7 linked regions of the Oryzias latipes genome follow. The protein of the gene in region 6 binds, or shares a complex with, the protein of the main gene of each other region. Links are inferred from orthologs where the notes say so. Each region holds a gene or a part of one and is shown on either strand. Other genes may lie near its edges.

Region 1 (4,406 bases), on a different chromosome or scaffold from region 6:
CTGAAATTCACTTTATCTAAATAAAATAAACTATAACAAGATCTGATCAATTATAGCAGCACAAATGCCAAAACTGACCAGCCAAGAAAAAAAAGAAGACAAAATTCACATTTATTTTTGCATTTTTGCAAAACTTTTGTATTGACTTTACCTATAAATAAACCTGGCTTAAATATCCTATATGCTCACAGCTAGCCTACATTGGCCCAGACTGGGACTGTAATAATAAATGTACAGGCCAGCAGAAAACACATCAATTGAGAAATACAGCTTTTTCATAAACAATGGAACAAAATAATGTCTGGTAAATTACAATGATGCAAAATAGAGCAGCCGTTTGACTAGATTTCTGTGTTTGAGTTAGAAGACATCAATGTGATTTTCTTTATTGGACGACATCAAGCTGCTGTTCCATTTATGCTGTTTTTGTCAAAGTTCAGTTTGAGCATCATAGAGATGAATTGTAAGGGTACAAATACTCAAGACACTTTAACATCCGGTACCTGCTACAAATATCATTAATTCTACTAGTTTATAAAAAGTGTGAAAGATATTCTGTTTCTTTTCACTGACAGTTTAAAGACCCACTTCAACCTTTTTTTGATCCATTTTCAAAGCGTTCCCAGAGGTCTCGTAACCCTTGTGCTATCTTAGGCACTTTAACATTGGGAGTTGGGTCATCCAGACCCACTAGACCAGGGGTGGGCAATTCCAGGCCTCGAGGGCCGGTGTTTCTGCATGATTTCCAGATAGTCTTGCCCTACTCATGGCTGATTACCTGCTTCAGGTGTGTCCAGCCAATAATCTTGCCCTACTCGTGGCTGATTACCTGGTTAAGGTGTGTCCAGCCAATCAGAACATGCCAGAGCAGGGTATGCTGGAAAACATGCAGGAATGCGGCCCTCAGTGCCCACCTCTGCACTAGACAGTGCTCTGAACCTTTTTTCTTCAATGATTTGTGATGTTCACTGGTGTCCATGGATTACATGAAATCTTTCCACCTTTATCCACTTTTGTAATGGTAGGGAGAACACGTCAATGTAAAGATCGGGTCATCTGGACCCCATAGGACAGCACAAGGGTTATGCTGTTTTTAGCCAAAATCAAAAACCTGTCTCGTTTTTTAGGACATCGTTTCTGCAGAGCAGCTGGAGTTCATCAGTATTCTCCTCTGAGTTGTGGGCAGGACTGTTGACGTGGAGTGATCACACCCCAATTTCGGTTACTCCTCTGTTTACATGCTCCCCTTTAACTTACAGCTCCTCACACCCCCAACCTAAAATTAGCAGCGATACTAAAATGGCGAGCAACATTGGCGGTATCCAGCCGTACAGTTTTGATCCAGATTTCAGCCCAGACGAGGAAAACAAAGACGTACATGGATCTATTTGCCTGTGAGTGCATGTATCAGAATGGAGCAGAGCAGGGGGCTCATCGTATTTTTCTATGTCCAACTACAATCTCTTTTCAAAAAGCATTTTTTTCTCCTGCTCCTCATTCACAACAATTTAAAAAAGAGAAATGCTCTTTTAGGCTTAATTTTCTTAAAAAATGTCCATCATGACAAAAATGCCACAAGAACCTGTTAAAAATACTATTTTCATCTGAGTGCATCTTTAACAAACTGAAGATTTCCGTACGTGAACTGAGAACAAAAACAGTAAACAGGAAAACAAAGTACACAACAATACTCAGTGATCCCAGGATTCATCCACAGGACTTTTACCTTTTTAGCCAGCTGGGTCAGAGGTTTAGTACCACCTAAATCTGTAAACCAGCTATTGATGGAGCTCTGCGACCTTGCTGTGACGAGCCAGAAATTATCCTTTTGGTTAACCTGCGGTTTACGTTTCCCTGTATCGGGAAAACTGTTGAAGCGCAGCTTCTCTGCGATGATGCTGCTAAAGTTGGAACTGATCTGCAAACACATGAGCACATGCATTAAAAAAAAAAACTAACTGGCATTTAGGACAAAATCTGCCAATAATAATTAATAAATGAATGGTACCTTTGCGGGATTGAAGTTGACATTTTTGGCAGAGCCGTGCTCGTCACTAGACACAGCTGGCTGGTTGTTGAAGCCCTGCTTCACATTGAGGGCAGTCAACTCATCCTGAAACAAAAACACACATGTAGGAGGTCAATACTACAAGATGTGCTAAAGCTCCATTCCTCAGCAATCACTGGCGTTCTGAGCAAGCAGGAAATGTGCTCGACTGGCTGTGCTGACAACACAAAAACTGATCATTCCCCTGAGAATTCAGAAAAAGGTGGGCCGAGAAATAAAGCTTTACCACTGACACCCCAAACTATACCTGCTACATATATAAGAACAAAGGAATGTACCATTATCACACAGGGTAGAGTCGAAATTAAACTACGATAAGGATGCATTAAACATTCCTAAAAAAAATATAATAATAATAATAAAAAGGATAGTTAACAGGTTAACGCCATTTTTGTGGAGCAAAACATTTAAATATGCGAGTCTTTCGGAGATATGAACCCCCTTCTGTTTGACGGAAATACAAACTTCTGTTTGATATTCAGTGGCATAGCTGCTGTTAGCTTAGCTAGCTCTGTTATTTAACGAGGGGTTTGTTTTCCAGTTAAGTGCGGAGCTGCTAATAAGCTGACAGCCGGGAGCTGCTTATTGTTGCTCCAAGGCCCTTCGCTTATACAGCGCTGCTATAAAACGCTAGCTGTGTGTTAGCCCCCTACAGCTTCCCTGTCGAGAGAATTCTCCCCCACCAACAAACACAATTCCAACAAACACAATTCCAATCCAAGAGAGGCTCGAATGAAAGTTGACTGCACCTCTTTTTGCTTTGGATCTTGGGGATAAACGTCCGGAGGACCGAGGCGGGGCCGCTTTAATGGCCGGTGTTCGTAACTTAAGATCCCGAAAGCAGCCATCATCTAAGGGCATCACAGCCAAAGCTTTCCGCCTCCTAAACAGCAGTCTCTGGGCTGAATGTAAGAGCGACACTCGCTTCCGGCTGCCTCTCATTCTGCCACTTCAAAATAAAAGTTTCAGATTGTGCGCCGCTTCAAAGAAAAGCTCTTATTTTGTTCCCTTTCGTTAAGTGTCGTTTAAACCTTTTTTGTCTTTAAAAAACTTTGTTATGAACTAGATACAGGACAATAGGCGAAAGTAAACATAACACGTACTGTACAACCTGCACATCAACAATCATTACAATCTTGTTAAAAAGAATTGAAAAATGTGCCATTCCTTCAAGATCTGCATATTTTACATTTGTTCCACTGTTGTGATTATTTTAAAGTCAAGAATGAAAACATTAAAACAAGATTTTGAAATGGACCATTTATATTTGTGAGTGTGGGATTAAACAATAAATTATAAACAGTTGAATAACAAAAATTACAGTTTTGGGCAAACCATGTATTCAAAATAAAACATGAAATCAACAATACTAATTTGGACGTTTACATTCAATTCTGTGACTATAAATTCTTTCAAATCTGATCCAGTTATGTAGACTACATGCAATACTAAACTAAATTTTAAAAGTGGTCTCCTTACTTGATTAGCTAAACACACGTGTTTTAGGTAAAAATAAGAAATACCCTTTCCCTATTTTAAATCTTTTTTGTCTATCTTTACTGGAAAAATTTGATAAAAAATGTTAAATGAAACTTTTTTTCTTTTTTATTTTTAATACAATATTGAATCACTCAAGATTGGATACCAAATAATCTTTGCACCAGAAGTCAAACAAGAAATTTGATTTCTAATATATCTATTGGTGCATCCTTTCCTCGTAATGTCCACATCTCCACTAAAAGTGTCATCAAATTCAGCACTGGCCTATTTTCTTTGCATTAGACATTTTTAGAAATTGAAGAAAACCTGCAGGGATCACATCAGAAACAACTGCATACTCTAAAAGTGTCACTGGAAAGCTAAAGTTTTAAAGAAATTATCAATATGACAAGAAAACTATTTGTTCAGGTACTGACCCACCAACTGATCAAATGTTGTTCAAGTATTTTGATGGAACTTTTCAACACATATTTGTAGAGTTGAAAACAAAATCAAGGTATATTGTTTTCTTAACAATACAAAATAATAATAATAAATGTAACTGTGTTGAATGAAACGGCCTATGACCAAGCTTTAGTGATGTTACTTCAGTAGAAGTACAAAAACAAATTAACCAAAAATCTATTTAGAAAGCAAAAGTTACTCAGCTAAACGTAATCTATTTAGGTGTGCACTTATACTTAATCTATACTAAAAGTGAGACAGCATACTTTTGGTTTACTTATTATCAACTGTCTACACAGTACATACTGTAAATTTAAAATGTTCCAATTTAGTATGACGTGTTCAATTAGTATACTTCCTGCACTACATGTACATGCTCTTTAGTAAACCTGCT
Region 2 (3,876 bases), on a different chromosome or scaffold from region 6:
TTTGTAGTACTGTACACTAAACATTTGGCTTTAACACTCCACTACTTATCCCAAGAAAAATAATTTAAAAAAACTTAATATAAATCAGTGTTTTTGTGTTTTAGGTAATTTGCATTTTTTAAATCCCTTTTGCAGAATTTAAAGTCAGTGGCGTATCTTTTCGATGCTAAAATAAATGCCTAGGACAAAGCATATTTTGTTTGGCTTTTGTGCATTTTCAGCCATTTTCCTAGAATTGAATCCAAATATCTTCATTAGTGATCAAACTGAGAAAATCCACTCAACTCAAGTTTTAGTAAAAAAAATAAAAAAGTAAAGGTATAATTCAGGAAGTTTATTCTGTGACTCTTTGCTGCCATCTAGTGGAGCTACAGCAATACCCCATAAAAGCAGAGACTAAACCGTAATGAGTATAAATGTAAATGTGATTTAGTGAGTTAAATAAAGACCTCTCCAGATGCGTTATATTTATTACAATCCTCTAGATATTCAGGTAAAAAAGAGGAAAACAGCTACATAGTTTTCGGCAATACCCATATATTGTTGACTACACAATAATACACAATAATAGTTCAAATGTATAAACACTCTAACTCCCTTTACATGAAAAAAGCTAATGAATATTCTCTCACGCAGCTCTGTTCACTCGAAATGCTAAAAAAATTAACAGTAATAATTTTGACTTTTTTGACACATTTTGGACATATTGTATCAAATTAAGACACATTTTAAGCTGTAATGAAACAAGCAAGTAATAATAGCCACAAGCCATTAAAGAGCAACACTCTGAAGTGGCTTTGGTTGTGAAATGTTAATTCTGACAAATCTAAGATCTCAATTTAACAGCAATATACAGTAAAATAACTCCAAAATATAGTTTAAACATGTCAAAAACCGCTTAGAAGCATTGTTATCCTCAGATTTCAATTTTAGACTTGAGTAAATTAATTTACATGTCTAATTGTATTCACTAAAAGCCCCCAATAATATATAAAATGTCTAGTTTGGATCAAACTTGCCAGTGAGGGCTGAGTCCATGAGTTCATCTTCTTCGTTTCTCATGTACATCGGGCTGGACCTTGATGGCCGATCTGAACTGAGCATGGACAGAGAGGAATCTGAGGCAGAGATGGGAGACCGAGACCAACTGTCTGCTTTCATTGGGTGGGAGGACAAGCCCATGGACAGGGAAGACTTCTTCTTCTCCTTCTCCCTGTCCCGTTCTCTGTCTCTGTCCCTCTCCCGTTCCTTCTCTTTCTGCTTCTTCTTTTCCTTCTTGTGCTTCTTGTGCTTCTCCCCTGAACCCAGTGGGATGGAGCTCATGTAATCTTGTGGAGGAAGAGGACGCATCGTCTGGTCATCGTCAGAGCTGGGGCTGTTCTGATGCGACTTCTCAGCGACTGAACTGCTGCCCGATTCACTTTCGCTGTCGGGGTTGAGTGGGGTATATGCAGGGGACCGGCTATGGCTGGGCGACGAGCGGTCATGTTTGGGCGTAGATCCACTGAAAAGAGGCGAAGCTTTAAGACTAGAAATTTGTGGACGTATAGAGTCACTAGACCCTTCCCCCGCCTTCTGGAGGGTCACTTTAGCCTTAATGCTTGGTGAGCCACCATCTGGTTTGCTAATGATAATTTTGGCAAGGGTAGTTCCGCCCACACCACCTGCTTTCGAGTCCATTGTCTTCTTCTCCCCACTGTTCCCCCCAGATACGGAGACTTTAGCCTTTGCCTCCTTATCCGATTTTTCCCGTTTGTACTCCACATTCTGGGATGAGGAGGTGTGCTTGGTGGAGCCCACATTAGAAGGTCCACTAGAAACATTTCCAGAACCACCAGGAGGAGCTCCTGAACCAGCTCCTCCAACTGGTGGCCCTACATCGCAGCCATCTTCTCCAACTCCTCCTCCACCAACACTCTTCAGCTTATCAATGACTGCTGTTAGGGAGGGCTTTTTGTTTCGGCTGGGAGATTTTCCTTTTGCATTGGGGTTGTTTGAGTTGTTCTGACCAGTCCCTCCACCACTCCCTCCTGCACCTCCGCTTCCACCTCCTCCACCAACATATTGAGATTGGGAACCTCCTGAGAAACTCATGGAACCAGAGGATGAGGAGGAACTGGATGATGATGAAGATGCGGTAGAAGAGGAGCTGCCACCAATTGGTTTCTGTGAGCTTTGGCCTCCACCAGAGGAAGACTTGGACCCTCCCGAGCTGCTTCCTCCGGACCCCATAGGAGATTTAGCCTTTGAGGATGGAGGAGTTCCTGGAACCTGTGATTGCTGCATCTTCATCGGAGAGGACAGTTTGTCCCCAGAGCCACTGGAGCGGGAATGGGAAGGGGAAATATTTGGCTTTACGTTGGGGTTAATAAGAGACCCAGGAGGTTTTCCCCCTTGTGGTTTAATTTTATTTCCACTTCCAGCACCACCAGGCCCTGAAAATCCATGTTTTGTTATTGGTGATGATCCCGGTTTGCCAACACCTTGAGAGGAGCCTTTTGACTGGGACTGTCCACTTCCACCTACTGCCCCCCCGGGTTTGGAGTTGTTTCCCTGTGATAAGGAGCTTTCTTTGGACTTGATCTTTCCAGAGGAAGATGAGTGAGAGTGGTGGCTTTTGCTGCTCGTACTTCCTGTACCTCCTGAGCTGCTGGTGGCTGAGCTGCTGGAGGTGTATCCGCTATGGGAAGAGGTTTTACCTCCGGTTATAGTCCCCTTTGGGATCTGAATGGTGATTTTGGGAATTGGGGGTGTGGCCACTCCAGGAGGAGTCTGGGAGCGTCCTGAACTACCAGGAGACTTGGAGCCTCCAGCACTTAAGCTAACTCCTGAACTCAAACCACCACTAGGGGGCGTATACGGTCGCCCACCAGAACTGTGAGAGGGGGATTTTCCATCTGGATCCACCTTTTTGCGTTTGGGAGGCTTTTCTTTTGACTTTCCTTCACTGGATGGGGTTCTGCTTCGTTTGACCTGTTTCCCTTCAGTTGAGCTGGTCCCCATTCCCATTCCAGAATTGCTCCCTCCACTGGCCCCATTATCCTCCTTTGCCCGAACAAGGCCCTGTTGTTGTTTAACTTTGGGTTCAGCACTTTTAAAATCAGAACAGGCAGCTCCAAGCCCCATCATAAGGGGACTCTGGGATCCTCCTCCGTGAGTGTCTCCAAGATCAGGAGCATGCCCCAGAAGTGGTTTTCCACTACCACTGTTGCCTCCAAACACTATCCCCATATCAAAAGGATCCTTTAACGAGGGTTCTGGTGTGTTCTGTCCATGTGGAGTAGGATTCTGAGGAGTTCCAGATGGAGTATTTTGTTGACTTCCGAACCCCTTGACCATGTCCATGACTCCATCAGGACTTTCGGAGCAGTTTTCAAAGAAGTTCTGAGTGAAACTATGCTCTGGGGAAAAGTCGGGTGGGTCATGAAAGAAGGAAGAGGACGAACAATCGCTATCCTGAATGGGATCAGGTGGAGTTGGAATCAGATCAGTGTCCGTAAAGGGGTTTTCATTGCTATTGGTATTAAAAATATCTCCCGAATCAAACACTGCGCTACCTTGACCGGAGCTGGACGAGTCCCGGATGGGAGTACCTAAGGGTCCTACATCATCGCCACCACTACCCATGGGGTGCTGCCCATGGCTCTCACTGCTGCCTTTGCCTGGTTGCTCTGGTAAATCCTGCAGGATTTCAGTGATATCAGGTCCAATGCTATCAGAGCTGGAGAGTCGAACCATGCGGGGTGGAACAGTTCCTGGTGGTTGCTGAGGCTGGATGTGAGACTGTGAATAAGGCATATTAGAGCCAGGAGGTGGTGTCCCACACTGGCTTGGTGCTGGAGTGATGCTATGAGGTGTGTCGAGACCATCACCTGC
Region 3 (4,516 bases), on a different chromosome or scaffold from region 6:
ATCTGAAAACACAAAGAACTATTTAATGCCTCCATGTTCATTTCTGCTGACTTTAAGTTCCATTACAATGAGTTGCACCTTTCTCTATCTACGTCTGTGTTTTGTGCAAAGTCCTTCACAGCTGTGAATCCCCTGAGCTACCCCCCCCCCCTTTACGGAGTGCATCGAGCGCCATCTCATATTGACCAGAGACACAGTCATGTGTAGCTTACAGTTAACAATAAAGTAAGAAAGGCTGAATTAATACTTTAAAAAAAAAAACAACTCCCAGGAAGGATCCGGGTCGTGTCTTTCACACCAAAGAGCCGACTTTAAGGTTGTTTCACTTGCTACTGACACATCAGTACACGAGTCTCTGCTCTGCTGCTCACCTGCTGCTCCTCAGGGATAACAAGACTCCTTGCAGGATCTCTTTTTGTCTTTTTCATCTTTGAGCCAGTTTGGAAAGCAAAGCGACTGCAGCAATGAGGGGATGTCTGTACTTTGACCGATCCCCCATGCTGCTATGTGCCAGTAATTCCGTCTTTTTTTATAATTAGTCTCTGTTTCATTTCAATTAACAGAGAAAAAGTCAAAGCCTGCAAAATCTAAGTAACAAAGTAACAAGGGTTTCTATAGTCCAGTAACTGTAATTCATTACAGAATATGAGCTGTAATTTGTTATGTTCTACCGTTACTGACAAAAGTAATTAAATTACAGTAATTTGTTACTTTGTAATCCATTACCCCAACACTGAGCAACATACAGAAGTGAGGATATTTATCAGTTTAAACAAACACATTTCTGTCTTTAATGAAGAAAGGTCAGGAAAAAAAAAAAAAAAAAACTAAATGAGTAAAATAGGTGAATCTGATCTTTAATGTGATACATAATATGGAAAAACATGAAAATTGGAGTAATATTTTTGGCTTTTCAGAGCTTTTTGTTCCTTCTTTTCATTGGGCAGTCATAAAAACAGGTTTTCATGGAATATTCGTGTTGAGGCCTTGCAGGGCTTCAGATTATTGAAGGATTTCAAGCCTCCAACCAAACGAACTTCCAGTTAAGGAATGTAGTTTCTGGCTTCACTTTTCAGGGAAGTTAAAGAACAAATGTTAAAGAAAAGATGAAGAGACTTACAGTTCAGGTAGTACGGATTTGCCAAACACTGCACAAACTCCAGCTCGGCCTGGAAGCGGTGCCGGGCCTGCTCATCTGGACCAGAAAAGACAGCATCACACAAAAGTAAAAAACACTGCGAATTCTGAAACAATAAGCAGTTTGGGCCTGACGACCTGCTGCAGTTATTATTATTATTATTTTTTTGCTGCTCTGATATTTCCATGATTCGTGTGTTATGCTAACACTGTAAATGAGTTTTATTTCCCCAAACACATTTCCTGTGTTAGACCAGTGGACTGGGTGATAAGTTAGAAACTATATAAGCGCGACGCAAGAACTGGTTTATTGTCAGACTACATTTTCACAAACGAGCCTCTGAGGTTCGGCTACTAAATACAACCAAACAAAAAGATGCGACCGACAAAAACGTCTGACTAAAGTAAATGTGAGTTCAACCAGTACACAATTTTACTAGCAGTGTCCTGAAAACCTTAGAGGGTCAGTCACCGCACAGTGAGTGCGGGAACAACTGTCACCAGAAATCTATGTTTTGAGTAGAACTCCTGGTTCCATGTTGGGGTGGAATCTCAGTCATTCAGGTCATGATAAAATGAAAAGTTCCAAAAGTATTCAACTGGACAAAGTTTCTGGTTTGAAGACGTTTCGCCTCTCACCCGAGCAGTTTCTTCAGTTCTGTCCAACTGGTGCTGAGCTAGAGATTTACATCCTCCTCGCTGGAGTCCTTTGATGGCCAACCAAACCCCCCAGTGACTGATTCGTTGACCCCTGTGTCCCGGTTGTGTCTATCTCTTCCTTTTCCTCACTGACGGTGCTTTCTGCCCAGAGAAACCTTTAAGAGGGCCTGACGCTTGTTTGTGTAATATTCAATAGAATGAGGGTTTTTATTTAGCGTTGTAGTAATGTGCGTTAGCAGCTGAAGGTGGGTAAAATGCCTGACTGAGGCAAACATCAAGCGTCACAGACAGATGTGGAGCAGTGGACGTCGTTTTTCAAAATAAAACCTTCATAAACACCTGATTAACAGAAAAAAGGAAGAGTGGTACCGATATGGAGCTGGAGACCACTGTCCCCGGTGAATCATTGAGTTAATGGGGTAGTTAAGGTAGTATGTCTGATAAAATCTCACATTTACAAAGTTATTCAAACCTGATAGAGCTTTATTAAACCCACGTGAACTAGTGTGTTGTCCTTATGTCGGTCTTTGGTTTATTTATTGGTTAAAGAGAGTTAGCAGTTTGCTAAAATTAGCCCAACGTTTTTGAAATTATGAATTATATGCAGTCTGAAGATCTTACTTATTCCTGCTCAAGCGACCTGTACTAGTATGTCGGGGTTTACTTTGGCTTCTTTATGAAAAATGTGTCAAGATGGACGAGCTTCATATTCTATCTTTTTAAACTTTCTCATAAATGTCATATTACTTATTTTACGGACTACAGCGAAAAAATCCCCGCGTTAATCGCCGACATTATTAATTTATTATTTACGAAAAATTTTCGGCTTGTTGTACGCACGAACTCAGGTTAATAAAAGCATCAACACAGCTTTAAGTCTTTTACAAAAGTTAGAAATACACAGTTTCTCAAATGTCAAATAAAAACACAAGAATAATGAAGACATTCATCATCCTCCCATATAGTTAGACTTAGAAGAACCAAAGCTAACAAAAATAGGTTTAGCTACAAACCTGTTTCCATGGTATCGACCCGAACAGTAACTATTTACTGTCCACAAACTGAGCAGGGCTTCCAGAAAGAGCAGAAAATCCTTATATGTGTTTAAATGTTTAACAAATCTTCAGTCCAGCTGCTTTTGTTTAGCTTTCATCAGCCGTAAGTGAACTACTCGGGCAAAACCACTTCCGACTTTGCGACACCTGCTATCTACTTTACGGCTTTTTTTCTTTTGCAACAAAACTTTGTTGTTCAGCACACGGACAACAAAAACTGAGACAGAAAATACCCAACACAAATAAAAAATACTTGTTAATCATACTTTTGGTTATATAGTGTTTGAAGTCTGAAGAAATAAACATTAAATGTCATCATGAAACAGAAATAATTTGAACAGTGAATAAAAAACGTCCATGTTTATTTGAGTCTTTGTTATTTATTGGAAAAACACAGAAATTAAATGATCAAAAAGCAGTAAACGGAAAATGTTTTGTTATTTTTCATCCAGTCTGATGTTAATGTTTTTCTCTGAACACTGAAAAATATGAGAATATGCAAAAACTTTAGGTAATCAAAATGTTTCACACTTGATTCATAGGATTTCTGATCTTGTAGTTCAGCATCTGGCCGTATGATTGCTGTATGAATGATTGTGGCGCTCCATGTATGTATGTATGATTGTGGCCCATGTGTGATTGTGGCGCTCCACAATCTTACTAGGCTGTGCTTTTCCTGCCAGCATCTTACACCCTGCAGTTATGTGCTGGATTGTTTCAGGCGCCTCTTTGCACAGCCTACACCTTGGGTCTTGTCTGGTGTGGTAGATCTGAGCCTCCATTGCTCTGGTGTTCAGGGTTTGTTCCTGGGCTGCCAGGATGAGTGCTTCAGTGCTGTCCTGTAGGCCAGCCCTTTCTAGCCATTGGTAGCACTTCTTGATATCAGCAGCTTCAGTTATGGTCCGGTTTGTCCTCCCATGAGGATTTGTCCTCTAGCACTGCATCCCTCTCCGTTGCCTGAGACATTCACTGAACACACTGTCAGTTGGGGCCTTGAGTTTGATGTATTTGTGTGCAGCAGGAAGAAAGAAATAAGAAAGTGCACTCGCTGTAGTTAAACACAGTGACGTATGCTTCAGAGGACGTTCAATTGGCTGTTCTGCATGTCAATCAAGTGACATCTTTCCTGCCGAGGATGATGATTCACTGACAGATTTTTAAAAAATATATTTTGATATTTATTTCTTATTTTTGATGACCTGCAATCTACAGTTCCATCCTTCGTGATCGACATAATGAGCACCCCTGACCTAAAGGATTTGAATGTGGACCATAAAATAACACTCTTTACATGTTTGAGTGATAAAGTTTTATTATCAACAAGTAAAAGGAGTTAGCAACAGGTTTGTAAAAAACAGGAAGATACATATGTACACAACACACACATACGTGCATACACAAACACACACACACACACACACACACACACACAAACAGGCACACCTTTGTTACTTATATTGGTTTATATAAAAACTAAAAACCTTTGTAGAGATCAGCAAAAACCTCAATAGATCTGCCGTTTTCAGATTCAAACCACTGCAACACAAGACGTCTAAAAAACCTGCTTCTCCACGTTTCTCTTAGGTAACACAGAGAGACTCTGACCCAAACTTCATTTACTGAATGTTAAATGAAGAAAACTGGTTGTGAACTGACCAAGCTTG
Region 4 (3,876 bases), on a different chromosome or scaffold from region 6:
GTAGGAATGGGCAGGGGCTCCGGAGACTCCTCTGAACCTGAGGTTATACAAGTTGTCATGTTTAATCTGGAGATCATTTTTAAAATATTATATTACATTGCAAGTGGCATGCAATTATAATTTTATCACAGAAAAACATGAGCATTTTCACCATAAGAGCCTCTTCCAGCCATCTTGTGAAACTGCTGCCAGGTCAGCGGCCCCTGAACGTGCTGGATGTTTTCCCAGGTCCGACCTGTTCGCTTCTTCTGGATGGCATCCTGCAGGAAAGGCTGCAAAGATAGCAGCATACGAACCATATCCTGTGACGACAACATGCTCATATCCACCACTTTGGAAATAGCCAGACACACACACACATACATACACAGAGAAGGTTACATTAAAAATGTACAAATGGTTCTGCACACCAAAGAAACAAAACAATCACAGAACATGTAAAAACATAAAATCATTTGAACTAATAAAAAACTTTTGTCATAATAGATCAAATCTATATTCTCTACTTTTGCAGTTAAAGAATGTTTCTTACCGTTTGTGTGTGGCCAGGAATGAAGGGCACTACTTCTGACAACAGCTAGATCCACTTTTCCCCCAGTGGGGTTGTCCACATACTGCAGCCCCTGCATCAAAGCATTGTAACACTCCACACAGGCGTCACTCTCATCCGCCCACTGCTTTTCAGACATCCAACTTTGGAGGAGTGCCCCCTTGCGTCCATGACAAGAGCAGCTGAGAGGGAGGTGAAGTGATGCCAGAGAGGAAATGGGATGGGAGCACTGCTCCTGCAAAACGATCATGACTGATGGAGAGGCAGGGGTAGCCTCCTGAGGCTGCTTGGCTCTGGAGTCCCCCATGATTGGGTCCCGACGACATAAAGCCAGCCTCCTCTGGGCTGCTTGACCCACTTCAGACGTCCGACCAAATATATCCAGCTCGTCTTCCAAGAAAAGGCCCGTACCATGAGCCAGCCGCCTGTTGATGATCGCGCTGAAGCCACACATACAGCGGTACTGATCTTCACAGGTGGAATCTGGGATGTACACCCCCACATCTGCCCCTTTGACATTCATATTGCAGGCACAGATGCAGCAGCTGTCAAAGTTGCGATCCTTAAATACGCTAAGGACAGAGTCTGAGAGCAAAAGGACAACATACAGGCTGTGGGCCTCAGGCAGAGAGGGCCCAGGCCGTCCTAAGGGCTCTACAGAACTAAGGGGCAGGCTGGTGGACGGGGTAGAAACTGGTGAGCTAAGCTCAGTGCCGTCCTGCTTCACTGAGCCCTGCCCTGAGCTTGCAGCGTTAATCCCTCTGGGCGTACGGGGAGTCCGTGGGGTGGGCACGGAAAATTGGGGCATGGCAGGAGAAGGAAGGATGGTGGTGTTCACAGAGGCAGTCGTACCGCTCATCTGGCCATATTCTTGGTCAGTGAGGGCGTTGACACTAGGAATGTTTCTGGATAATTAAAATAGGGAGTCAGACCAAGAATTACACTCAAAAAATGTTTCAAGTGTCTATAAATACTCACGTGTATCCATCCTTGGAGAAAACATTCCGAGGATGCATGATGGTGGTGAAATGTTCCATTTTAGGTAAAACAGCCCAGGATGGACGGTAATAACACTGATCAGGAATCTTTGACGGTGGCAGATTCTGGCTGGGAAGGCAGGATAAAGGAGCAAACATGGAGGAACATATCTGTGGCTGGAAAGAGAGGAAAACATATGCCTGTTAACTGCAGTTTGGCACACGTCTCTCATTGCTCAAACAGCTTCGGATGAATTTCCGCTCACTTTGATATCATCTTGCCCTGGACTGGCCACACTCTCCTCCATCTCCATCCTACATTCAGCAAGCTGGAAAGAAGCCAAGGGTGGTAGGTGGTCCGCCACTCCACTGGGTACTGGGGGCTCCAGACTTGGGGTGTCACGATGCGGTGTGATGGGAGAGAAAGCCGGGTGTTGTTCTAGCGAAGGTGGGGTTGGAAACATCCGCTGGAGATCTGCAACTGCTAAAATGAGGCAGACACAAAGACATGACAAAGGAAAATGGGGTATAATGTAAAAACATATTTCAAAGTGATTGTAAAAGTAAAAAGTTTTGATCTACACATAATTTGATGTAGATAGTAAAAAAGCATATTTACTGAGCTTTTGAAAACAAAATACTTATTACTCACTTGATGGATAAGGGACATTAACTCTCCCTTCTTTGCCAGCAGGACGATCTTCTGTTGGCACGAGTAGCTTGGTCTGATTCGGGTAAACAGTCTACGGATTATTACAAAGAAAAATGAGTCCGTCTAAAGGCAAGGACATCCCATATAAAGTCCTGATACTGCTAAGAATAAATGTGTTTTACTGAATTATTAGTAGGTCTTCCAATGATGGTTAAATCTACAATTGTAAGGAATAAAAGATTGTGTCTTACGCCCAACTCTTCTTCGTCTTCATCAAATATGTTATCCAGATCAGAAATGTTGACCACCAGATCTTTTTCTCTGGTCAGAGAAGGGTTGGCTTTTGCAGCAGCATCATCTTGACCCGATTCCTCTGCAATAGACAAAAAAAACAGAGGAACAAAATAAAAAACATTGCAGAGAAGCAGCAGCCTTCTGGCTAATGGGAAAACTGTAAAGTGTGGAGTGTTGGTGCTGACATCTTTACCTGATTTTGGAGCAGAGTTAAAAATGGACATAGCATCTTTTCCATCAGGAACAGCTGATGCATCATTTGTGATCTCTTCCCCCTTTGAATTAAAGTGGAGATTGTTTAGACAACTTTTAAATAATATTCTTTTATCTGCAGTGTACCTGTAAAAACATTTTATGTACTCCAAAGTTGAACAATGATTGAGTTTAATTTGGACTGTGTGCAGTTTATTATCTAAGAAAAGATAACCACTTATTCTCTCATTAAAGAAGAAAACAAACTGGAATTCAAAACCAAGCAATGGTAATGAAAAAATAAATATCACTGAACATTTTGAATGATCTTAACAATTGAAGTCCAAACTGGATGTGAACTCATTTTGTATTTATTATCTCCTTACTTGGATGAGAAACTGTTTTTATTAGCAAATGCAGTTGGTGTACGTTTGATAACCTCACCAAGCATTAAAAATGCAAAACTTTATAAATTGTAATCCGGATTGCACCACCTCCCCTAAAGAAATAGCTCAGCTCTGCTTTGAACAGATGATCGGAACATCATGGTCCAGATCTCAGAACAGCTACTTTTTGTGCAATGTATTAAAGGAAATACATTTTAATAGTTCTATTACCAATTATTTTTATTGTTTTTAACATATTCTATTGTGCTTCCATGCTGGAGGACGGCAGATGATAAGTATCTTATAGCTAAATCATGTACAAAAGATCCCCTCTCTAGTGATAATGTTTAGTACATGGTCCCTAACAAACAAACAAACCAACAAACAAGCTCTGAGTGTGTACTATAATACCTTAGCCTTCTTGCTTGGCTCTCGCCCTGGACCCTTTAACCTTTTGGAGGAGGAGAAGGTGTATTCGATGTCTCCTTCCTTGAAGTCGTAGGGATCTTCACCATTCTCCCTCAGTACCTCCACACCCGGCTGCTCAAACAAGCCAAGTGCTTTAATGTGGTCCCTCACTCTCTCTTCAGAGATTTTAAATCTCTTGTGGGTCTGTGTATAGAGTCTGGAGGAGGCAAAGAAACATGTGTAAAACCAAAACACACATCCTCACAACTATCTGGGTTTTCTTTTACTCATGGATACTTTTCTGTGATTCCAATAACACGTAACGCAAAACCTATTTTTTTTTACATATCCTACCTTTTGAGTGGAACTGCATCTGCAGCCACCTCTAAGTTCATTTCCTCCAGGTTGTCTAAGGGA
Region 5 (4,354 bases), on a different chromosome or scaffold from region 6:
ATGCATGACTTTTCTAGACTCATATTACAGGGGGGTCAAACTCAGTTGCAGAGGGGGCCTAAATCCAAAACACACTTCGTAATTGGAAATAAGATCAGAAACTCGTGCGTTTACTTTGTTCGTTATTTTTCTCCAAGCAGAAACTCTTTCTTTTGCTTTCTTTGGGGTGCAAATTCTGAGGTTTTTACTTTCAGAGTTTTAATGAGCCTGAGGTTTTAACAGCTCCATCACACCTTTTCTATGTTCACCCTCTAGCATTTCCTTTGCTTTGCACTTGCTGTGTTTTCAGAAGACGGACAAGTGTGAGTAATAATCCTTTACATTTTCCACAAATCATAAAGTGACTAATCATTTACTAATCATTTTCCACTAATCATTATTTCTTTATTTGCAGGTGGAAGAAGAACCCTCCATTGTTTATTCCTTAATTGCCTTTAGAACCCCTGCAAAGACCAATGGCCGTGAATTAGCCCACAATGAAACCATTTACAGTGAAATAAAATTCACAAAAAGCAGTTTGGATAGGTTGAGCAGGTAATTGTTGCGATATTTTAGCAGTTCTGAAGTTGCCTTAACATGGATTCTGTTTTGTGAGTTGAAGTAAACTTCACCCTACAAGGTCCAAAATGGAAACCCTTAGAAGGGTTTTTTCCATTGTGTCAGAAAATGAATAACTGCTTGCTAATTATCTTTATGAAATATAGCATTGCTTTGTGTCTGTACCTGATACTGTCAGCAAGTGCTTTGAAAACAGAAAACAAGTTCCTTTAAATTATTCTGAACCATTATTTTTTCTGACACAAATTTTGTTAAATATTTTTTCTTTAAAGGCTTCGGAATCCGTCAAAACACAGTTTTTATATCTTTATTATTTTATGTGTAAAATATGCATCTGATGGAATGTTTGTCATTTACTTTAAAAGGTTAAGCACAAATCTTAAAAAAGTTTGTGAACCTCAATCAGCCAAAAACTATAGCAGCATGTCTGAATTTTAAATGTTTTATTCAATGTTTTAAAAAGAAAATATTTAACAAAAACTAATTGTAAAAATATTGTAATTGTTGTGAAGACAGCATCTGAGTTTTAAAAAAAAGGCCCACAGAGCTAGGCTTTTATTTTTTTATGTGCCAGCAATTACTATTACAACATTTTCGGTATGAAATCTACATATATATTTTTATTATTTTTAAATATGTGCAAGGTTTTCAAATACATTTAGTTACTTATCTGCACTGATAATAGTTTCAATTTTTAGAGCACGTTTTGGTTTGTGAGTGTTTTTGTAAATCAAATGACTTGAAGTTGATTTTTAAAAAAATGTTATTTATGGATTGTATTTTTAAAGTAACCCCTGTTTGGGTTACTGTAATTGATCCTTTTTCTACATTGCTAAAATTTAAGTTCAATAAGTGTATTCAACGTGTACTTATTGTTTTATCATTTGCCTAAATACCTGTTTGCGCGGAAAAAGCTAACACAGAAAGTTGCTTCCATGAATGGTTATATTCCGGGGTTTCAGTAGGTGGCAGTAACGAGCTTTAAACTGGATTGAAAGCGCCTTTTAAAAACAAAAGCCAAGGAAGAACTTGGGCGCCTTTGTTTTCTGATTAGCATCAAATTTTGGTTGTTTTTAGAACGGGTTACAATATATATTTCATTAACACTTTTTTTATTTTTTAAGTTAAGTACGAATGCCTTAAATTACTTTGTTGATGACAGTAACAGCTCAAATCGTGAGTTGGTAATTCCATGTAGGCTAACTGTTAACTGGTACTAGCAGCCGTGTGGATATTAGCTAACCGGTGAAACAGGGGGCCCACCGTGGAAACCAACCACAAACAGCAAAAATATCTTAACTTTAGTCAGTTCTAACGCTGCGCCGAACTCTTTATTCTGCTCAGGTAAACCATCTTACTCTGTAGTGAGAAACGTCTACTGCTTTTGCTAGTTAGCATAAGCCTGCTATTGGTAGTTGTATTTGTTCGCTAATTTAGCTAACAACTGTTTTCTGTTTACTCATTCATTCATTGGTAATGTCACTCACATGTATCATCAAACAACTGCAAATGAAATAGAGTAGTCCAACAACACTTTGCAAAAAGTAGCCTATTTAGTTTACTACATGTATAATTGGCTAGTGGGACGATATACTTGAAGTAAACTTTTAAACACAATCTAGTATTGCTAAATTCAAAACATAAAATGTTCCAATTTAGTCTGAAGAAGTTTTCAGTCAGTTAATACTTCTTTCACAATATACACATGGTCTATCGTACACTTGTACTTATTCTCACGTGTCCTCAATGAAATAAACTTCAAGTGTAGTACTTTTTGCTAAGTGAATGACAATGCCATCATTCACTATTACTTTAAATCAGGAAGAAGATGGAAGCTCCTCCTGTCACAGTTATGCCCGTCACCGGCGGTGCCATCAACATGATGGAATATCTGTTACAAGGTGAGACGATTCAGATATAGAAGGTTCAACCAGAGATATAGAGGCTTGATATATTTACAGATAAAACGGTGTATTTTTCCAGAATACATATATTAGAAGCCAGTATGAAGTTCACTGGCTAAATTATTTGAAAAATAATGTTTACATCTTCATTCTGTTGCTAAAACCAACTTCTATCCATTAATATTAGTCTTTAAAAAAAAACTATTAAGTTGAGCTAATTATTTTTCCATCATGAGTGTTGGTGTAGCATTAAAGAGCAAACCACACTGTCAAGAGTGTGGAAAGAGTGCTCAGTTACTTTCTGTCTTGAAAATAATATATATTTCTAAGGTTTTCCTGTCCTGTTTGTGCTGCACTTTACTGGACACATTTGTATTTAGTAAACTGAAGTATTTAAGATTATATAGATGCATAAAGATTTATGGAAAAATAATCCTCAAGTCAGGAAAGCTTTTTTTAAATTTTTTTATTCATGAAACCTGTTATTCATGTTTTCATCACATCTGAAGTGTTTATTGAAACTGTGTTTGTAAAAAAAAGAGATCTAAAACGAACACTAATTTTAACATTGAACATTTTTTAATTTCATGATGGAGGATTATATGTTTAATATTCATTTTTAAAAAGTTGTATCACAGCAGGAAATAATTATAGTGGGAGTAAAGAACTTACTATATGAGTCTTTAAAGGATATTCTATTTTCTCGTTTTTTTCAGGCAGTGTTTTGGATCAGGCTCTGGAAAGCCTCCTGCATCGCCTGCGTGGTCTCTGTGACAACATGGAACCAGAGACTTTCACCGACCACGAGCTGGTTTACCTTTTGAAAGGCCAGCAAGGCAACCCCTTCATTCTGCGTGCCAGACGCTCCCTCTCCCACCCTACTTCTCCATGGCACCTGCGGTATCTAGGCCAGCCAGAAGTGGGAGACAAGAGCCGCCATGCTCTGGTTCGCAACTGTGTCGATGTAGCTGCCTCTCAAAGCCTTCCGGAGTTCCTCAATGAGATGGGCTTTCGCATGGACCATGAGTTTGTGGCCAGTGGTCACATATTTCGCAAAGGAGCAATGAAAGTTGTGGTTAGCAAGGTTTCACGCATCCTAGTACCAGGGAACACGGAAAATACAGAGCGAATGTCGCTGTCGTATTTAGTGGAACTGAGCATTTTGGCTCCGGCCGGACAGGACACCGTGTCAGAAGACATGCGCAGCTTTGCCGAGCAGCTCAAACCTCTGATTCATCTGGAGAAGATTGACCCAAGCAAGCAGAGACATTAAGCATTAATGGAAAAAAATGTTTTTGTTATTGTTTTCCTTTCCATTTAAATGCTTTTTAATGTGATGAAATACAGATTTACTTTGCTTAAACTGTTACAGTTGTGGTTAATCTGACCTGTCAGAGTATTTTTTTAATTTATTTTTTACTTTTTGTGCCTACTATAAAGAAAATATTATAGTAACAAATAGCTGGAAAATACTTAAATATATTTTAAGTTGACAAACATTTTGCAATGCCTCAGATGGCTTATGTTATTGCTTTAAAAATTTTTTTTTAAATCTTCAATTTCATTTTTTTATATAATAAATGTCCACCAGGGGTCTCTCTTTCCACAAGGATGGTCTTAATTGGAGCAAAGTGAACGCTACCTCTCATCATCTACAGGAGCTCTGGTTGCCATGGAAATAATTAGCTGTGCGATCTGCACATCGTTTACCCCACTCTAATTAGCTTTCTCAATTGCTTAATGATACATAGACCTGTGAAAGCCTTTCTTTCTTCCTTTCCACAAAAGCATTGATTTTCCCTCTCTTCCCCTTTCATTTCTACTGTTAACCCATTAGTATCCTTTCTTTTTTTCATGGGAACTTGAGCTGGGACTATTACAAGTGAAAGCAC
Region 6 (3,000 bases):
CTAAAACCCACAGACACCTCTTTACTCTTCTGTCTTTTCTTTATGCTCAGGGTGACACACACCACTCAGGCTCTGTCCTGTATTGCTCCTATTGAGTTTGTCTGATTACTGTACACACCTGTTACCTGCCACAGGTGGGTTTAAATAAAAACAGAAGCGTTACTTGCTTGAAAAATTATTATATCTTACCAGTTTTGACAAGGTGCTAATAAGTCTGGTCCCATGTGGGACTTCTGTGTGAATATGTATCAGGTTTCTTCTGTTCCAAAAAAAAAAAAAAAATCAAAACATTTGCAATTGGAACCAATGTGTTGCATTTTTGTGATCAAATTGGAAAATATTTTAAGGTTTTTAGGCTTAATTCTGAATAGATAATGTGTGTGTGTTACATACCGAAAATGTTTGTGTACATATAATATAAATAAAATGATGGGTTTGTATTTAAAGCAAAGAAATGGAAGAGAGCATCTTGAATTGAAACTTAAAGAGTGACCCTCTGACTCTGAGTAGAATGCTGAGAACAAAACAGTTGCTTAATTCTCTACTTCTATTCTTTCGTTCAGCTGTGTTCTTGAGATTTACCGCATCTCTGTTAAAGCTGTATTGCTGACAGCGAAGAACAATCCTTTGGTTAAAACAGATTCCCAGTTAATATAAATAATTTACGAGTAACCAGAACTAGACAAGTCGGCATCACTGACTCATAAGGATTACCTCATGCTAGTTGTAAAATCTTTAAACGGTAGAATTATGACCTGTCACTCAACCAGCTGAACACAGAAAAGAAACTAAAGGAACAGATTTGTTTTGAAAGACTGCAACTGCCGTCAGGTGGAACCTGGTGTCCACCTGGGCAGGTTCTGATTGACCTGTCGACGTGTGGCCTGAACTGTAGGGCTCCATGGTTCGGCCTGGATTTGGTTTCATGAGAGACGGGGCATCGCTGGGGATGTTACGCGAGATGCTGGTGATGATCAGGATATGGGGTCTTCTGAAGCCAGGATGCCTGCCCACCTTCACCGCCATGTCGGATAGTCAAGACAGCCTCCAGCTGCTGTTCAGACTGCTGACCAAGCTGTGGCTGTGCTGTAAGGAGCAAATTCTTTACCCACTCTAAAGACGAAACCTGTAAATGTTGATCATGAAGTGGTGCTCGTTTTGTAGAAATCTTGAATTGTTTGATCAATGTTATTTGTTCTGGCTGTTAAAGGCTCGTCTTGATACAAATGTTTTTGGAACTGCAATGCAACTGTTGCTATGTCAGGCAACGGCAACACTGCAACCTGCAGCTGGGACCTAAGCTGGAGCCTTCTGTAGGAAGCAGATTTTTATGCCTGTATTTTGTGTCTCAGCTCGGGAGGATGGCCCCACCCAGGAGCCCGATGAGGGCCTCATTGATGAGTGCTGCCTGCTACCCAGTCAGCTGCTGGTTCCTAGCATGGACTGGCTCCCTGTGAACGATGGCGTCATTGTAAAGCTGCAGGGAAAGAACCCCCTCAAGCTGCAGTTTGGGAAAGCTTCCTCCTTACCAGGAGCAGCCGGCGGCGCCCCATTGGAAGCACTTACCAGGTATTGATCTAATCACCTGCTGTATAAAGGCTTGCACAGGTTTTGGAATAAAATCTGGCTTCTGCTCAAATCTCAAAGGTATGTGCACTGAAATGTTGTGATGTATACACCAATCTATGTCCTCTATAGTTGTGTTCACTTTACAACCCAACCCACCAAGAATGGACCCCTTCAAAAACAATTCTACATTTAAGAACAGACGGGCCTTTATCCTAATTTATGTCGTTAAAAGGATCCATGTTATGATTGCTAAACATAGTTGAAAAGCAAACCACTTTAAAGGAAAATAGTTTATAGAGTGGCCATACCACCCTTAACACGCCTGATCTCGTCCGATCTTGGAAGCTAAGAAGAGTCGCGCCTGGTTAGTACTTGGATGGGAGACTGCCTGGGAAGACTAAATATTCATGGTCTACTTTTTGCAATGCTTAGGAGTCCTGGCTCACAGAAGATGGACAACCTGCGCTGTGTCTTTTTAGGAGTTTGTCCCACTGAAGAAAGTAAAGCCTGCACCAGGTGAGTGCACAACAACATTGATGTGAAGTACAGGTACCGTTAATGAGCTTCTAAGTTTGGCTCCTCCTCCCTCAGATGCGGCTGTGTGACGATGCTCCGTTCCCCCAACAAGACCAACGCTATGAAGCAGTGGGAGCAGCGCTGGATCAAGAACTGCCTGTGTGGAGGCCTGTGGAGGAGGATCCCAGCTGCTCTCAGCTAACACTGGAAGCTGCACCAGTCTGAGGGAACATTTTTGTTTTCCACTGTAAATATTGTAACTCTTTCAATAAAAGACAATAATACTAACAGTTCTGCTTCTGATTGGGTTCTTTATACGCTGCGGTTTTACAGCGTGAGCCCGTTGGACTTCACCTTTGTTTTTGGGGAATCCATGTCCCCTTTTTGTCATAACTCACTGGTTGTTCATATTCTTTGTTCTTGTTTTTTTATATTATTCTTAGTCTTTTTTTTCCCCCTCTGCTGTCAGTGGCTATGGTGAAAAAACAAATTTCCCACGTGTGGGATCAATAAAGTATTTCTGTTTCTGATTGTTCCTGATGAATGTTAAAATATTTTATAACAGACTTTTGTGTATTTGTGTTTAATTTACTGCCTTTGAATAGCGGCCTCTGCGGTGAAACATCTGTGCCTGAGGAGCTGAGGGCTTCATCCGCTTTTTTAAGAAAAACAACTGAAAACTCATCGTTTTAACTCTGCCTTTAAGTAGCTGTTTCAGATCCACGCATTTTAATTTGATTTTATGTAAAGATTGTTTTTGTGGCATGTGTATGTGTGTTTTTTTATTAAGACTTCTATTTTCAAACTACTGTTTTTTTATTTTTGATTATTTATGTAAAGTACTTTAAAGGGCCTTTTAGTAGGAGAAGTGCTATGCAAATGAAGTTGAATTTGAACACCGACGCAGAGAGTTGG
Region 7 (4,636 bases), about 23 Mb from region 6:
AGACAACTGCAGAGACGACATGACCTGCGTGAAGGAGGAGATCTTCGGCCCGGTCATGTCTGTCCTGCCGTTCGACACCGAAGAGGAGGTGATCCGGCGGGCCAACAACACCACCTTTGGACTGGCCTCTGGGGTTTTCACCAGGTCAGCAGAGAGCTGCAGACTGCGATAACGTTTGCTTTTAAGATAAAACTGCTTTATTGCATTTTCTGACCCTATTGCTGTCAAAGATTAACACTCCACAGTCTCTGGTAAGGTCTCACCTGAACTCTGTTCTTCGTCTGCAGAGACATTTCTCGAGCTCATCGTGTGGCTGCAAGTCTGGAGGCGGGGACCTGCTTCATCAACAATTACAACATCAGCCCAGTGGAGGTGCCATTTGGAGGGTATAAGATGTCAGGTGGGGTCTTGTAAAAAAAACAAAAAAAAACAAGAGGCTTCTTGAGGAAAAATGGTGAAACCGAGTTCTTGATCTGTGCAGGCTTTGGCAGAGAGAACGGCCAGGTGACCATCGAGTACTACTCCCAGCTGAAGACGGTGGTGGTGGAAACAGGCGATGTGGAAAACTACTTCTAGAGTTTCCGTTTTACACTCATTTCAGAGCAATAAACGAAACTGTGCAGACCTGTTGAATGTGGATGTCCTATTTGAACTTTTCTGGAGTGTCTTTTATTAACTCTTAAGTGTGTATGAACAGCTGGCATGATTCTTCAGGCTAATTTATTTTGTCACGTTGGACATTTGCTCATGCAAACATTATCTGAACTCTGATCCTGAAGTAAAAATAGCAGTTGCATATAGAGTTTACACTGCTAGAAACATTGATCCATCTTCTAAACCACCTTTATTCATGTATATAAAAAAAAAGTATGCTGGGTGTCCTAGAGCCCACCCAGCTACTGAAAGGCAAAGGTGGGATACACCCTGGGCAGTTCACCAGACCACTGCTGGGTCAAATGGTGTTAGGATTCAGTCTAAGAGACACTTTTGAGGTCTTAGGTCAGAGAGCTCTTCTCCAAGGTTGCACCAAACAATCAGGTCTCTGTTTTTATAAGGCTTGTATTTTAGTCTGATGCCTGGACCGGTGAATGTTAATAATAAAGCCGAACTAAATAGATAATGTTGATGACTCATAAACTTGAAAAGAACTGATTTTGTAATGGTTGGCCAAGATTCTGGGACATTTGGAGCTTCCACTAAAGATAACCAGAACAATATACAGCTTGTTACAGAAGACCCATGATCACACACAGAAACAAAAACACTAAACATATCATTTGTTTTTAATAAATACCAGGAAGACTAAATTGTTTCTGCTCTGAGCTTTTATCTCTGTCTCCCTGTAAGCTGCACCTTCTCTGTGCTTCCTTCACAACTGTCTGCAGGACTCATCCTCTGATTCTGCTCTCAGCTCTTCAATTTCACTTTGGTTGCTGCAATTTCTCATTTTTTTTTAGTCAACACCATCGTTGATTCTCTATTTTAAAAAAGTCAGTATAGACTGGATTAATGACTCTGACGGGACAGTTCTAGTACATTATTTTGGCCTGGAACAGAGAATTTGGACGAAAGAAAACAATATTAAAGGGTGCAAAACCCTCAGAAACAAATATTTATTGAACAATAAATAAAAAAAGAAAAGAAAAAAACAAGAGGATGGGTGGTATGGGTACCTGCTGTAGCCACAAGGGAGCACAAACACACCGTCAGATTTGACCAGAGAAGAAGAAGCATCTCTTTTTTTTGGAAAGCGCAAAGCGGAAGTACAACCTAGAAGACTTCCGGGTCGCTGACAGATCAACAATGCAAGTGAGTCTGAAATAATTTCACTCGGTTGTCTGTGATTCTTCTGACCTACTGTGGACGATACTTTGGACTGATGCTAGCTCGGGCGCTGTGTAATCTGTCCGGGCCTCTCTGCTCGTCCTTTTTGTGTTTCAGCAGCGGGAGGAGAAGCAGCTGGAGACGGCGGTGGAGTCTCTCATCTCCCGGGTGGCTCACGTTAAAAACGCCCTGAGCAGCTTCATCTACAAGCTGGAGAATGAGTACGAACGTCTGACATGGTGGGTCCTCCTGCCCTTATGACGTAACGTATCCCCCCTCCTTTGATTATGATAAATAAAAGCCTGGAAACATGCGAAGTTAACAAGTGAGTGCATATCGTGCGTGTGCATGTGTGCGCGAGCGCACTTAGACTATAAATCTTTGTTGATCCCACAAAAGGGGAAATTACCTTGTTGTTGCCATAGCTCCAATAAAACATCAGATATATATTAATAACACTAAAAATACACTTAAACAATTAACAGCAATCATTTTTGTCCAATGTCTATAAGGCATTGCAGAGTCTAATAGCTGACGGGAAGAAAGATCTGGGAAAGTGCTCCTTCCTGCAACAAGGTGTAAAGGAGCTGCTCAGTACACCCATACAAAGGATGATGATGATGATGAAGAAGAGGAGTGTCCATGATGGAGTTCAGTTTCTGTAACATTTTACTCTCACCCACCACAGTTACCGATTCTAGGAGACATCCCAGAACGTAGCCGGATCTCCGCTCCAGTTTGTTGATCCTCTTCTTGTTCCTGTTTGTGCATTCACACCTCCAGCAGCTCAAACCATAGAAGAGGGCAGACGCAACAATGCCATCATTAAAAAGAGTCCTGAAAACTCAGGAGAACCCCAGTCTCCTCAGTATCTCCTGCGATCTGGGATTGCTTCTCCAGCGGCATGTTGTTGTTGCCAAGCAACAACAGCTGACCGTGTAGACGATGTACCCACAGACCGCTTCAGACCCAGAAAGTGGGGGATAAATAGTCCAAAGGACTAGCAGGCACGCCACTGCACTTGTGTAAAAAACAACAATTCTGTCAAAAAACAGAATAATAATTAGAGAAAAAAAAAAACGAAACTAAAGAAAAACAAGCAAGCCAACACAGATCTATGGTAACTGCCAGCTTGTTGTAGCATTGGTGTCTGTATTTGCGTGCGTGTATTTGTACGTGTGCATGCGTCTTTTAGAAAGTGTTTGTGTCTCCATGTTTACCTGCAAAAGTTTTCTCACCCCCCTCTCAAATCTTTCCTGTCCCTCAGGCCATCTGTTTTGGACAACTTTGCTCTCCTCTCGGGTCAGCTGAACACCATCAACAAGCTGCTGAGGAACGAGAAGACCCCAGCTTTCCGGAGTCAGGTCATCATCCCGCTGCTCCTGTCTCCTGACCGGGATGAGGATTTAGCTGTGAGTGTCGCCGCAACATTTGCAGGCTGTCCTGTGTGGTGAAAGACCTCTAACTATCCTGTCCACCCCCACACCCCCCTCAGAAACTCACAGAGCAACGCGTCCCGGTGTTCAGTCACGAGATTGTGCCAGATCACTTGAGGACCAAGCCTGACCCCGAGGTGGAAGAGCAGGAGAAGCAGCTGAGTGCAGAGGCGGTCAGGATTGGTCCTGAGTTGGCTCAGGTCAGGAGGCGCATGGATGTTTGTTATCTGTTGTCTGTGCTCAGAAGGTGTTTAGTGTTTGTCTGTGCTAATCCACAGAAGCATATCCAGGCTCTGAACAAGCTGTGTTCCAACCTTCTGGAGAAGCTGAACAACCCTCGAGAGGACAGAGAGGGAGATGCTTCTGGTGGGTCGCTCGTTTGTGTAAATCCCTTGTTGTCCTTATTGTAGAAAGAGCTGAGTGTGTTTATCTTCCAGCAGTGCGGCAGAACAAAGCGTCCTTCAACCCCACAGACACCAGTGCCTTGGTAGCAGCTGTGGCTTTTGGGAAGGGACTCTCCAAGTGTAGACCTCCTGGCCCTGTGGCCCCTGGCCACCCAGGGCAGGGGCCCATGATGAGCGGAGGTCCAACGTTACAGCAGGTCACTATTGGTGGCGGGTCAAACCAGCAAGCAGGTATGGGAGGGCCTGGGGCCCCCCAGCAGCAAGGTCAGCCAGGTAGGAAACTGTACTGGTAAAATGTATTAAGTTTTTTGTATTGGAGACACATTTTTATTTCTTTATTTTTGTCCAGGAAAAATGCCAAGCAGCATCAAGACAAACATCAAGTCTGCATCGGGTTCCATTCACCCTTACAACCGGTGATCTCCCCCGCCCGCCTCTTTACTGCTCAGATGCAGGAACATCAGTCTGTTACTGGGTCCACCTTCACGTCCCCCTTTGAAGCTCTCTATACAGCCACTAGGTGGCAGCATGGGATCCTTTATGGCTAAATCTTAACAGCACAATGACATGTTTTCAATAAAACCCAGAAAAGCAGCTTGGTTTGTGTGGCCTTTATTATACAAGTGTCTTTCTCTTGTTTCTGCACTGAAACGACGTGAAAAAACCTGAGCTCCGCTCTTCTGAGTCTGTGTTGCAGCGCTGAGCCTGATGGGGGTGGACGTTGTGTCACAACTTTTAAGGGAGAACGCGAGGAACTATTGCTGTTGACAATGGTGGTGGTGGGGGTTTTATTCCTGTCTGAGTGTTGGCCCTCTGTCTGCTCTGATCCTGTCTGGCTGTATGACCTACATCCACCCTCCGTTCCTTAACTCAGAGTTGAACAAAGACACATTTGTGCTCACAAACAAACCTGAACAAAAGACCGATATGGGAGACACAAAGTCAGAAGTCTCCATAAAGTTACCCTTATTG

Evidence for each region.
Region 1: med16 (region 6) and med12 share a complex: the UniProt entries of both Homo sapiens proteins name them as parts of the mediator complex. The link is inferred for Oryzias latipes from reciprocal best matches to the Homo sapiens genes MED16 and MED12.
Region 2: med16 (region 6) and med1 share a complex: the UniProt entries of both Homo sapiens proteins name them as parts of the mediator complex. The link is inferred for Oryzias latipes from reciprocal best matches to the Homo sapiens genes MED16 and MED1.
Region 3: med16 (region 6) and med31 share a complex: the UniProt entries of both Homo sapiens proteins name them as parts of the mediator complex. The link is inferred for Oryzias latipes from reciprocal best matches to the Homo sapiens genes MED16 and MED31.
Region 4: med16 (region 6) and med13l share a complex: the UniProt entries of both Homo sapiens proteins name them as parts of the mediator complex. The link is inferred for Oryzias latipes from reciprocal best matches to the Homo sapiens genes MED16 and MED13L.
Region 5: med16 (region 6) and med18 share a complex: the UniProt entries of both Homo sapiens proteins name them as parts of the mediator complex. The link is inferred for Oryzias latipes from reciprocal best matches to the Homo sapiens genes MED16 and MED18.
Region 7: med16 (region 6) and med8 share a complex: the UniProt entries of both Homo sapiens proteins name them as parts of the mediator complex. The link is inferred for Oryzias latipes from reciprocal best matches to the Homo sapiens genes MED16 and MED8.

What each region holds. Positions count from the first base shown.
Region 1 is NC_019868.2:8,241,332-8,245,737, reverse strand, and holds the start of med12 (mediator of RNA polymerase II transcription subunit 12), read right to left. Parts: upstream 2,977-4,406; 5' UTR 2,920-2,976; coding exon 2,818-2,919; intron 2,114-2,817; coding exon 2,009-2,113; intron 1,919-2,008; coding exon 1,727-1,918; intron 1-1,726. UniProt on the Homo sapiens protein: Component of the Mediator complex, a coactivator involved in the regulated transcription of nearly all RNA polymerase II-dependent genes.
Region 2 is NC_019877.2:9,646,824-9,650,699, forward strand, and holds the end of med1 (mediator of RNA polymerase II transcription subunit 1), read right to left. Parts: coding exon 1,000-3,876; 3' UTR 453-999; downstream 1-452. UniProt on the Homo sapiens protein: Component of the Mediator complex, a coactivator involved in the regulated transcription of nearly all RNA polymerase II-dependent genes.
Region 3 is NC_019872.2:23,702,467-23,706,982, reverse strand, and holds the start of med31 (mediator of RNA polymerase II transcription subunit 31), read right to left. Parts: upstream 3,004-4,516; 5' UTR 2,821-3,003; coding exon 2,811-2,820; intron 1,196-2,810; coding exon 1,121-1,195; intron 1-1,120. UniProt on the Homo sapiens protein: Component of the Mediator complex, a coactivator involved in the regulated transcription of nearly all RNA polymerase II-dependent genes.
Region 4 is NC_019870.2:12,506,473-12,510,348, reverse strand, and holds part of med13l (mediator of RNA polymerase II transcription subunit 13-like), read right to left. Parts: coding exon 3,814-3,876; intron 3,677-3,813; coding exon 3,463-3,676; intron 2,749-3,462; coding exon 2,667-2,748; intron 2,553-2,666; coding exon 2,431-2,552; intron 2,271-2,430; coding exon 2,180-2,270; intron 2,012-2,179; coding exon 1,794-2,011; intron 1,705-1,793; coding exon 1,529-1,704; intron 1,456-1,528; coding exon 533-1,455; intron 332-532; coding exon 152-331; intron 38-151; coding exon 1-37. UniProt on the Homo sapiens protein: Component of the Mediator complex, a coactivator involved in the regulated transcription of nearly all RNA polymerase II-dependent genes.
Region 5 is NC_019874.2:22,764,186-22,768,539, reverse strand, and holds med18 (mediator of RNA polymerase II transcription subunit 18), read left to right. Parts: upstream 1-1,545; 5' UTR 1,546-1,902; intron 1,903-2,379; 5' UTR 2,380-2,386; coding exon 2,387-2,459; intron 2,460-3,178; coding exon 3,179-3,735; 3' UTR 3,736-3,844; downstream 3,845-4,354. UniProt on the Homo sapiens protein: Component of the Mediator complex, a coactivator involved in the regulated transcription of nearly all RNA polymerase II-dependent genes.
Region 6 is NC_019862.2:1,616,520-1,619,519, forward strand, and holds the end of med16 (mediator of RNA polymerase II transcription subunit 16), read left to right. Parts: intron 1-895; coding exon 896-1,088; intron 1,089-1,352; coding exon 1,353-1,569; intron 1,570-2,001; coding exon 2,002-2,085; intron 2,086-2,160; coding exon 2,161-2,287; 3' UTR 2,288-2,371; downstream 2,372-3,000. UniProt on the Homo sapiens protein: Component of the Mediator complex, a coactivator involved in the regulated transcription of nearly all RNA polymerase II-dependent genes.
Region 7 is NC_019862.2:24,740,559-24,745,194, forward strand, and holds med8 (mediator of RNA polymerase II transcription subunit 8), read left to right. Parts: upstream 1-1,710; 5' UTR 1,711-1,803; coding exon 1,804-1,809; intron 1,810-1,941; coding exon 1,942-2,063; intron 2,064-3,091; coding exon 3,092-3,236; intron 3,237-3,319; coding exon 3,320-3,460; intron 3,461-3,538; coding exon 3,539-3,626; intron 3,627-3,697; coding exon 3,698-3,937; intron 3,938-4,013; coding exon 4,014-4,084; 3' UTR 4,085-4,258; downstream 4,259-4,636. UniProt on the Homo sapiens protein: Component of the Mediator complex, a coactivator involved in the regulated transcription of nearly all RNA polymerase II-dependent genes.